2 linked regions of the Daphnia pulex genome follow. The protein of the gene in region 2 purifies or fractionates together with the protein of the main gene of each other region. This does not show direct contact. Links are inferred from orthologs where the notes say so. Each region holds a gene or a part of one and is shown on either strand. Other genes may lie near its edges.

Region 1 (4,756 bases), on a different chromosome or scaffold from region 2:
TCTTGCCGTATCGAACCACTGAGCACCAACCCTTATGTCACGAGCTTTTTGACAAATTTCTTATGCCTGACCCCGATAAAGGTTAATGTTTTCCCGCCCAGCTACATTGCGAATCTACTATCGAATTTTTTTAACACGAATCATCGATATATAAAGTGCAGATCCTCCGTTTGAAGCAAGAGAGACGTTGCGAGCGTGGCAAGAAAGAAATCACCCTTGGCTGGAATTATCAGATGTACACAAAGAAACGACAGAGAATATCCGTGTAACCGTTACTCCTTTTTACATGGGATGCCGAGAATCCCAAAATTCAACTGTCTTTTGGGTTCGTTCCATTGGTAATGTGAATCAAATTTTTTACAAATGTAATTTTTAACTTTTGCAGTGGCGTTACTGTATCCGGCTCGAAAACTTGGGAGAACTGTCTGTACAATTACGTGAACGGCACTGGCGTATTTTCAGTCTTTCGGGTACCCTAGAAACGGTTCGAGGAAGAGGAGTAATTGGACAGGTAATTAACGTCAATAACCACCGTTCAAAATTAGAATGTAACATTAAATCGTTCTTAAGGAACCGGTCTTGTCACCCGAACAACCAGCGTTCCAGTATAGCAGCCATATTTCACTACAAGCACCATCAGGGCATATGTGGTAATTTCAAGTTATTTTTCACTATTTATTAAAGAGTACAACAGCCAAGTTCAAATAATTTATTTTTTTTATGAACAGGGGAACGTTTCGAATGGAGAGAGAAGATGGGCACACCTTTGACTGTCGCATCCCTCCCTTTTCATTGGAAAGCAAGAACGAGGATAATAGCTTGCCAACCGGCGTGGTTTAATGGAGTCGTTCATGATAATCATGAAATATGAACAACAACAAACTTTGTACATGAAAGACAACTGCTGGCTTTTTAGTTTTTTCTAAGGTTTTCAAAGATCTTCGTTCTAGAATAATTCTAGGGCATTTTTTTCGTTTTAGTGATGCGGTCAATAATTCGTTCTCGTGGCATTCATTCGTCGTCGTCGAAGTCGACGTCCGCAGGGCACTATAAGAAATCAATTATTAGAGTGTATAAGGGAGAGGACGGTTGTAAAACGTAATTTGACGGATAGAACTTGGAAAAAAAAATGAACTTACGTAAAAATCGATGTAACAGTTGTGGTTGTCTTCTACCTTGATCATGAATTGGAAACATATGAGCCCCGTATCGTCGATTCGTAGCGAAACCTTTTGCGCTATTCCAAGGGGTTTGATGGATGGTTTCATCAAGGAGAGCTTGTATCTAAAGTCAGAAATTGAGCTAATACATCGTGTACGCCTTATTATGTATGTGTATCTATTTCGTACTTAAAGGACACTGCCGAGGTACAACGAAGAGTTTCTATTACATCGCTCTCTTTCGGAATATCGACCTTGAAACCCAAAACGTTTAGAATTAGAACGCGCTTCACTAAAAACTTTACAACGTGATTTACATGATAAGTTCCTGAATGACCAAATGTTGTGATACGAAAATTTGACGAATCAGGTGACAAAGAAAACTGAACAGTATCACTAGTCGAGTCCAACTCACAAAACACCTCTATAAAAACAATAATTATATTAGGAAATTTCTGTCTTCTTTCAACGCTTAATTACCTTTAAGACATTCCGAACTCATAATGATACGACCGATGACGTTAGCCGACCCAAAATCGTAATCCAGGACAGGATCAAAATGAACTGTACGTATCTTGCAGTCAGTGATAACTCCTGATTCTTCCAGCCTGCCAAAAAAAAAAATTATAATTCGAAATAAGTATAAAGAACGATTATTCTTTGTAGTTTTACATACAAGATAGAAACGGGAGTCCCATGGCCGTTATAGTAGAGTTTCAAGGCTGGTGTGCTGCCACTTTGAAGGTTGTTAGAGCCAAATACATTCAAACATTCCAGAAGCACAGTTAAATTAAGCTGAAATTTAATCTCATCTTCTTTAATAACATAACTCTAAATTTCAAAGAGTTAGTAAATTTTGTGAAAATTATTGTTTTTGTGAATTCTTTTTACTTGAAAAACTCCAGGCTCTATAAAGGCATTTAGCTGGACACTTTTCATGTCTTCAACTGTGACTTTTAATCCATCTCTAGTACAGCAAAATACGGAATTCTGAAAGGAAAGCAAAATCACAAGAAGGATGTAATAGGATTAGCTTTTGATCGCTAACAAAACATGTTTTCTCTGTATTACAATTCTTGAAGAATTTACCTCTTTGAAATTTATGGATTTGAGGATATGTGAGATAATTTTTGCATTATCCATACGTATCATCAAGATGTGACTTTGGTCTCCAGACGTGTTTTGAAATGGAAAATTTGGCATGGTGAATGTGGGACTCGTTTGCTCTTTAATGTTGTGGGAGTAGTTTTGAGAATTATGCAAAGGGTTCCTAAAGGATCATCCTGAAATGATCAGTGAAAAAATGTTCTGGTTAATAAGGCTAGGATTTTTTACAGAAAAATGTACTGCACAAAAAATGAACCGACCCAACTGTTACATCCAAGAGAACTATGATTCGAGACGAATTATTCTAGTTTTGACTGAATTCAAAATCTGGTTGTGTTTATCACAATCAACTATACAGCACAATCAAATTTGTTGGATTTAAAAAGTGCTAAACTGTCTGCAATGGAATGGAAGTAAAAATTTCAAGTTTTAATCTCGAGACGACGAAAAAGCCTACCGGCTTATTGATTCAAACAGGAAAATATTGTTATTATTAAACAGAAAGTCAGAAACATTGCGGCGTTGTACAACGCGAGAAAACAACAGTTTAGAGATGGGGAATTCGAAAATGAGCACGCCCATTGGTCGTATGCGACCATTGCGCCACCTAGAAATGTTTTGGCTTCCAAACATAGTTTTCAACTGATTAAGGCAGCGGGAAATGAATTTAAATGTAAAAGTCATGAAAAGATGAAATTTTAAATAAAAATACATAAAAGCAGTAAAGGACGAATGAAAAAAGAACCAAGTTGATGGCTGTTGATGGTTCGGAGCGAGGGAGAAAACTTGCCGCCAGTATCGTTGTTGTAGCGGTCGACGCGTGTACTCAGTTCGGTACCGCCTTAGTTGGCGGTGTTGAAGGGGAGCAGTTCTCTTTCACGTGCGAGGAGCAACGTGATAACAGATACAAGACAAAAAACAGCCCAAACGTCTTTTTCGGTGCTGAGACTTAAACCGTGAAGTGAAGTGTAATTCTTTTGTGGCTAAGTATGTGTGCAATCGAGTTTCGATTGTTTGATTTACCGGCATTTATAACCCAGTAATTCGGCACGTAGACTACTCGGCAAGCAGCAATAGTAGTAGCTTCGGCGCCCCCAAGAAAACCTAAAGGCAAAAATCGGTGACGCCCATTTTGGTGACGTCATCGCTGGGACACGTGTAGCCTGGTGCCTCGCTTGAAGTGCGTAGTTTTTCTCGATAATATTATCTTGTGATGTAGTGTTAGTTTTCAAACGTCACTTTGGCGATCAGAGTGACTTTGGTTTTTCGACTAAATGCAGTATCTTTTGCCGATTTAATTCTTGTCGCATTTAGTTTAGACATTAAAAGCAAGCAAACAAAGAGGCATTTTCCTCTTGTTAAAAGTTTTCTTTTGATAGACTATAGAGAGCTCATTCAAGGCCGCCAGCCTCAGGCCAAAATGAAACGAGTACTGAAACCCAAAAGCGAATGACCCTGTGTGCGTGCGTCTGTGTGAATTTTTATTTTTTTTTTCATTTGATATTGATGCAATGTGGATCCTGGATGTCATCGTTGTTGTTCAATGCTGTTACACTGTTGACTAAAACTGTTTGTGTCTTCTTGACCCACAGGTCTAACACTCAGCGGCTGGTGGTTGTCCAACAATGAGTTTGGAGATTCTCCTGGAAGCCGCTCTATTTGTAGAGCGACAGACCCAAGGTAATTGCTTTGCACAAGTTTAATCTAGTCCCCGTTCCCTCCTAGAAACAAGCAGGATTGCTCATACTGACATCAGTTTGTGCATGCAAAGTCTTTATAATATCAGACTGCTTAGAAGCTCGTGCACCCCCAGTCTTGAATTTCTCGAGCTCTGCAGAGCCAAAGGTTGTGAATCAGTTCCCTATTGTGTTTGGTGTTGGAGGATATGAGCTCATCAATCTTTTGGTTTTCTGGCCTTTGAATCTGTAATTGCCCCCGCCAGGTGCCTCTGTTGGAGCGTGTCTTTTTTATTTTATTTCTTCTTCTTCCCCAACGTCACACTACGGTCATCGAGAATGTCGACATCGATTGTTGACCTCGATCTCTACGAAGTTAGAGCCTGCGCATTGGCATTTTGACGTTGGCAACAGTCCATTCAAAAAAGCTCCTCCTCCTCTTTTATTTTTCCAGGCTCGCCAAGAACAAGCAAGAACGGGTGTCGGGAGTGGGAGAGAGAGAGGTGGGTGAGGAGAGCGATCTATTTGCGCAACTGCGAATCTCGGGGAGAGTGGCGTGCGTGCGCGGGTAACACGCCGAAATAGATCCGAAAAAAGGGTGGCAAAGCCCCGCCCACTTCGGTTCCACAACCCGCACGTGCTAACCAGTGTGTGTGTGTGTGTGTATCCCGCTCGCACTGGGAGGGTGGTGGTGTGCATTGTAGAGCGGATGGGGGAGGTCAAGAGCTAGATAGGAAAGAGAGAGAGTCCGGGAGTGAAAACAAAGTCGTCGCGCACGCAGCCAACGACATGGCTGATTATATAAGAGAGGGG
Region 2 (4,490 bases):
TGAAGATGGGAAACGGTGTGTTCAGCATCGTGATTTTAGACGGAACATGAAGAAAACGTCGCCGATCCTGTACGCGCTCCGTCGGTCTTTAAGAGTCCGGCGCACAGCATATATAAATGTGACATGTGCTGATGTGCTGTTAGACGAATAGATTAGAGGACGACAGCTCAGCAGGGCTATTCCGTCCGAATATTTAATTGCCGAGGTACTTTACCTATCCGAGCATTTAAAAGGGCTTCTTTGAAACAGTTGACATTTGATTTCAAAATAGAATTTATTTATAACTACTGCCGTTTACATGAGAAGATTAGAAGCTGGAAAGGAAACTTGTGATTGACTCAATCTCGTTCTTATAGCTATATAGCCTAGTGCTGATCACCCTGAGAGCTGCCAGGCGTCTAAACATGTATAGGTTATACTTTTAGCCTATAAAGTTGAGCGAGCTGCTGATGCTGGTGCTGAGATATGCTCAGATCGATTTTCGTTATGCAAAAGCTTTCGCCGTAGATTATAACGTGAAAAGCGGCAACGCCCGTTATATTCGCTCCTGCTGAAACCCGTTCGTGCTCTGCGCTGCCATGAATAAATATCAACCGATGCAAAACAGCCCAGAGCTTATGCTGCTGCTGTGCTGATGTCTGACGGGCATTTTGACATGGTCTGGCTGCTGCGACAGTTTTCGTCCGTTTTGCGGCCATTTGGGTGCGAGCGCAGTGGTCGTGGGCCCGCGGATTTGTCAAAATAAAAAGTCTAAAAATCCCTTTTCTACTAGTTATGCAAAATAAAAAGCCAATTGGATTTTCGCTGAACAGCTTCTTTTCTTCTTTTCTCTCTCCGTTGACGTCGGTTAGATAAGATATCACAAGCGTCAGTTGCATGTCAATGAACGAATCGATTTTGACCACCACAGCTGCTGTGCATTGGCTCGCATTGGCTGCTGGCGGATGGCGGATGCGGTATACACGTCGGGTGGAAAGAGACTGGAGAGTTAAGTGTGTCTTGATTCCGCTGTTCTGCATTTATTTGGCGTCAAGCGTTATGGGAGGGGACCAGGGAGGGAGGCGCATCCCCCAGCACCCTAACGAGAAAAGATGCCTGTCAAGAACTCATTAGGAGCGTCATGAATATACCTATACGTTTTTATTTAACCAAATGTCTATATAATAGCTGCGATGAAACCTTTAATTGTTTGAAGCGTTCCTGCATATTAATAACTGCGACAAGTGATGTTAATGTAAGTCTAAACAAATGAAATATCGACTCAATCGATGTTGCGAAATTCAAATGTCAAAATCATGTCAAAATCAAAAATGCCAAATCAACGACTAGGCTAGGCGACTAGGCAAATGACAATATAAAATAGTCTGACATGCTAATTATTTAGGGTATAATATTCTATAGAAACGGTTAATTAAGAGAAATTTAGACGGGAAAGTCGCTTTCAGCCGTTAAATCGCTTGCGCTAGCCCGCCTAGCCAGCAGATGGTTCTATCTCCGCCGCTAGATGCCGTCCGTGAGGCGGTATTATTATTGGGTTTGGCAACGCTGCATTCAGCTTTGCTGCTTCGTCTACTTTTTGGCGCCTTTTCCGTGACACAATTCGTGTTCTGCAGTCTTCCGGAGCTACTTTCTTATTTATTCATTTAAGATACACATACAATTTCATAACGTCTGTTGACTCGGAGCCCCATCAATCATAAAAAAAAAAAAAAAAAAAAACGTCTGTTGAAAATACTGGCATCAGTTTGATTTTAGAGAAAACAGAATTGAAGTTTCATAATAGTTCTTAAATCCTAGTTTCACCATTCGATTCTCACTGCTCAGAATGGGTATTAAAGGGCTGACCCAAGTGATTGGAGATACTGCTCCTACTGCCATTAAAGAAAATGAAATTAAGAACTATTTCGGTATCTTGTTAAATAATTCATCATGTAAATACCTGTAACCCTATTTGTGTTCTTTCAGGCAGAAAAGTTGCCATTGATGCTTCAATGAGCATTTACCAGTTTCTTATAGCTGTACGATCTGAAGGGGCTATGCTAACCTCTGCCGATGGAGAAACTACTAGGTTCAGTTTTACATATTTTCCATCCCTAAACAAGTATATTGAAATGTTTTCTTTCATACAGTCACTTGATGGGTATTTTCTACCGGACCATTCGGATGGTTGATAATGGAATCAAGCCTGTTTATGTGTTTGATGGAAAACCACCTGACATGAAAGGGGGTGAACTGACCAAAAGAGCAGAGAAAAGAGAAGAAGCATCAAAGCAACTGGTTCTTGCCACAGATGCAGGTATTTACAAGAATTTTATGGTTGTTCTGTGCAGAATTTTATGGTTACACGAAAATTGGTTTTTAATCTATCTATCTATCTATCTTCAATAGGTGATGCAGTGGAGATGGAAAAAATGAACAAGCGTCTGGTAAAAGTAAACAAAGGACACACTGATGAATGCAAACAACTACTTACTTTAATGGGAATACCTTATGTTGAGGTTGGTTGGCCGTTTTTGCATTGGCAACATTTCAGCATGACCATTTCATCTGTCTAGGCACCCTGTGAAGCTGAAGCTCAGTGTGCAGCTTTGGTGAAAGCAGGAAAGGTTTATGCAACTGCAACTGAAGACATGGATTCATTGACCTTTGGTTCCAATGTCCTGCTGAGATACTTGACATACAGTGAAGCCAAAAAAATGCCCATCAAGGAATTCCATTTGGATAAAATTTTGGACGGACTGTCGTACACAATGGATGAAGTAAAAATGCTCGAAGAAAATCTTAAAATGTTTGTCTTATTAAATTTTCAATTTCTTAGTTCATCGATCTATGCATCATGTTGGGCTGCGATTATTGTGACACGATAAAAGGAATAGGCGCCAAAAGAGCCAAGGAACTCATAGACAAACATCGATGCATTGAAAAGGTGATCGAAAACCTTGATACCAAAAAGTACACCGTCCCAGAAAATTGGCCTTATCAAGAAGCAAGACGACTATTCAAAACGCCTGATGTTACAGATGCAGAGACCCTTGACGTAAGCCTTAAACTTACTACGTGTCAGATCACAACCTAATCGCACTGTCCCATTGCCTCCTCTTTCCATATATAGTTGAAATGGACACAGCCAGATGAAGAAGGTCTAGTCAAATTTATGTGTGGTGACAAAAACTTCAACGAAGAGCGCATTCGCTCAGGCGCCAAGAAATTGTGTAAAGCGAAAACAGGGCAGACGCAAGGCCGACTTGATTCGTTTTTCAAAGTTCTTCCTTCTAGCAAACCGTCTACGCCTTCCACACCGGCTTCAAAGCGCAAGGTTGGTTGTATTATCTGTTTGTTTGTTTTTTACCGCATGATGCATTTAAAATTAATTTGCCATTTTTTATTAATAGGCCGAGGAACCGAAAAAGGGAAGCAAAGGAGGAGCCAAATTTAAGCGTGCAAAATAATTTATTTAATGCTGAAACAATGAATTGTGCCCATTATTATCGATGTAACTTGCTTACTCGTTTTACATGAGGCTATTACTATTAACCATGATTCATCACTTGTAATTCATTCATTTAAAATTTTGATTTCTAATTTTAATTATCATTGATCAGTAGTATCTTTATATTTATGGAATTCCTCGCCATTCGTTCCATTAGCTTATACTAAGTTTTCTCTGGCTAAAAGGAATGAGTTTTTGCTTCGACCGTCTTTTCTCTTTATACTTTGTGTAACTGATTCCGTGAAAGATGCAGTGCATATCTGAAATTCTCATTCGAGATAGTATCTTATTTTCGTTGTGGGAGTTTGAATTTCCCGTCTTCAAATTTCGTGTAATTAGTTATTTGTATAGCCTACTAGCCAGAAACAGCGTTAGGGCCTAGCCTAGTTTGAAAAATTACCCTTTGCCACCTGGTCCTCTAATGAGACATCTATCGTCAAAAAGAAAATTTAAGAAATAAAAAAAAAAAGGAAAAAACTCGAATAGCGATTACTTTATGAAACCTGAAAATTATCTATCAATCATTAGAAAACGGTATTTAGTTCAATTTATTATGCCACAAAATTACAGATAGATTGCTTGTGGCAGGATATTCGTTGTTTACAAAAATGTTCTATGCAGTATAGATGGCGTCTGTGTATCGCCTCAGATTAATATCTCACACTGCACATTCAGAGAACAGAAATTCCAAACATTAGAGGTACTTCGTATTCTAACAGAGAAAGAAATATTTTCAATTGTAGACTAATTTGGTCACATGTGTTTGTTGACAAAACACTTTAGGAAACTACTTGGAACTTAATAACGTATTTGTCTACTTTTGAATATTTACATATTGTTGGTGTGTGTCTGCGGATCCAAATGCCTTTACATCCGAAGCCTTGGAGAGTTTTACTTCTGTGTTTTAAATCGTTCATCGACCGATGATTTGAAAATGTTGCATAAAAAACGAGAGAGGAATATTTGTTCAGTCAATAACTGCAGATCATACAGAGAGGCT

The links.
Region 1: the proteins of flap endonuclease 1-like (region 2) and cell cycle checkpoint protein RAD1-like purify together in Homo sapiens (affinity purification with western blotting; 3 studies listed by BioGRID). This does not show direct contact. The link is inferred for Daphnia pulex from reciprocal best matches to the Homo sapiens genes FEN1 and RAD1.

What each region holds. Positions count from the first base shown.
Region 1 is NC_060028.1:2,684,632-2,689,387, reverse strand, and holds cell cycle checkpoint protein RAD1-like, read right to left. Parts: upstream 3,107-4,756; 5' UTR 2,980-3,106; exon of another isoform or gene 2,528-2,979; intron 2,469-2,527; exon of another isoform or gene 2,444-2,468; 5' UTR 2,364-2,443; coding exon 2,250-2,363; intron 2,151-2,249; coding exon 2,052-2,150; intron 1,992-2,051; coding exon 1,837-1,991; intron 1,769-1,836; coding exon 1,641-1,768; intron 1,585-1,640; coding exon 1,478-1,584; intron 1,415-1,477; coding exon 1,350-1,414; intron 1,325-1,349; exon of another isoform or gene 1,285-1,324; coding exon 1,065-1,284; 3' UTR 1,048-1,064; coding exon of another isoform or gene 1,012-1,047; 3' UTR 841-1,011; coding exon of another isoform or gene 729-840; 3' UTR 696-728; downstream 1-695. Other genes in the region: polymerase delta-interacting protein 2-like, read left to right, coding at 1-81, 162-325, 386-511, 571-650, 729-840. UniProt on the Homo sapiens protein: Component of the 9-1-1 cell-cycle checkpoint response complex that plays a major role in DNA repair. The 9-1-1 complex is recruited to DNA lesion upon damage by the RAD17-replication factor C (RFC) clamp loader complex.
Region 2 is NC_060025.1:1,071,822-1,076,311, reverse strand, and holds the start of flap endonuclease 1-like, read left to right. Parts: upstream 1-1,555; 5' UTR 1,556-1,666; intron 1,667-1,717; 5' UTR 1,718-1,825; coding exon 1,826-1,907; intron 1,908-1,965; coding exon 1,966-2,068; intron 2,069-2,129; coding exon 2,130-2,296; intron 2,297-2,388; coding exon 2,389-2,498; intron 2,499-2,555; coding exon 2,556-2,759; intron 2,760-2,818; coding exon 2,819-3,037; intron 3,038-3,112; coding exon 3,113-3,316; intron 3,317-3,392; coding exon 3,393-3,449; 3' UTR 3,450-4,190; intron 4,191-4,273; exon of another isoform or gene 4,274-4,369; 3' UTR 4,370-4,490. UniProt on the Homo sapiens protein: Structure-specific nuclease with 5'-flap endonuclease and 5'-3' exonuclease activities involved in DNA replication and repair.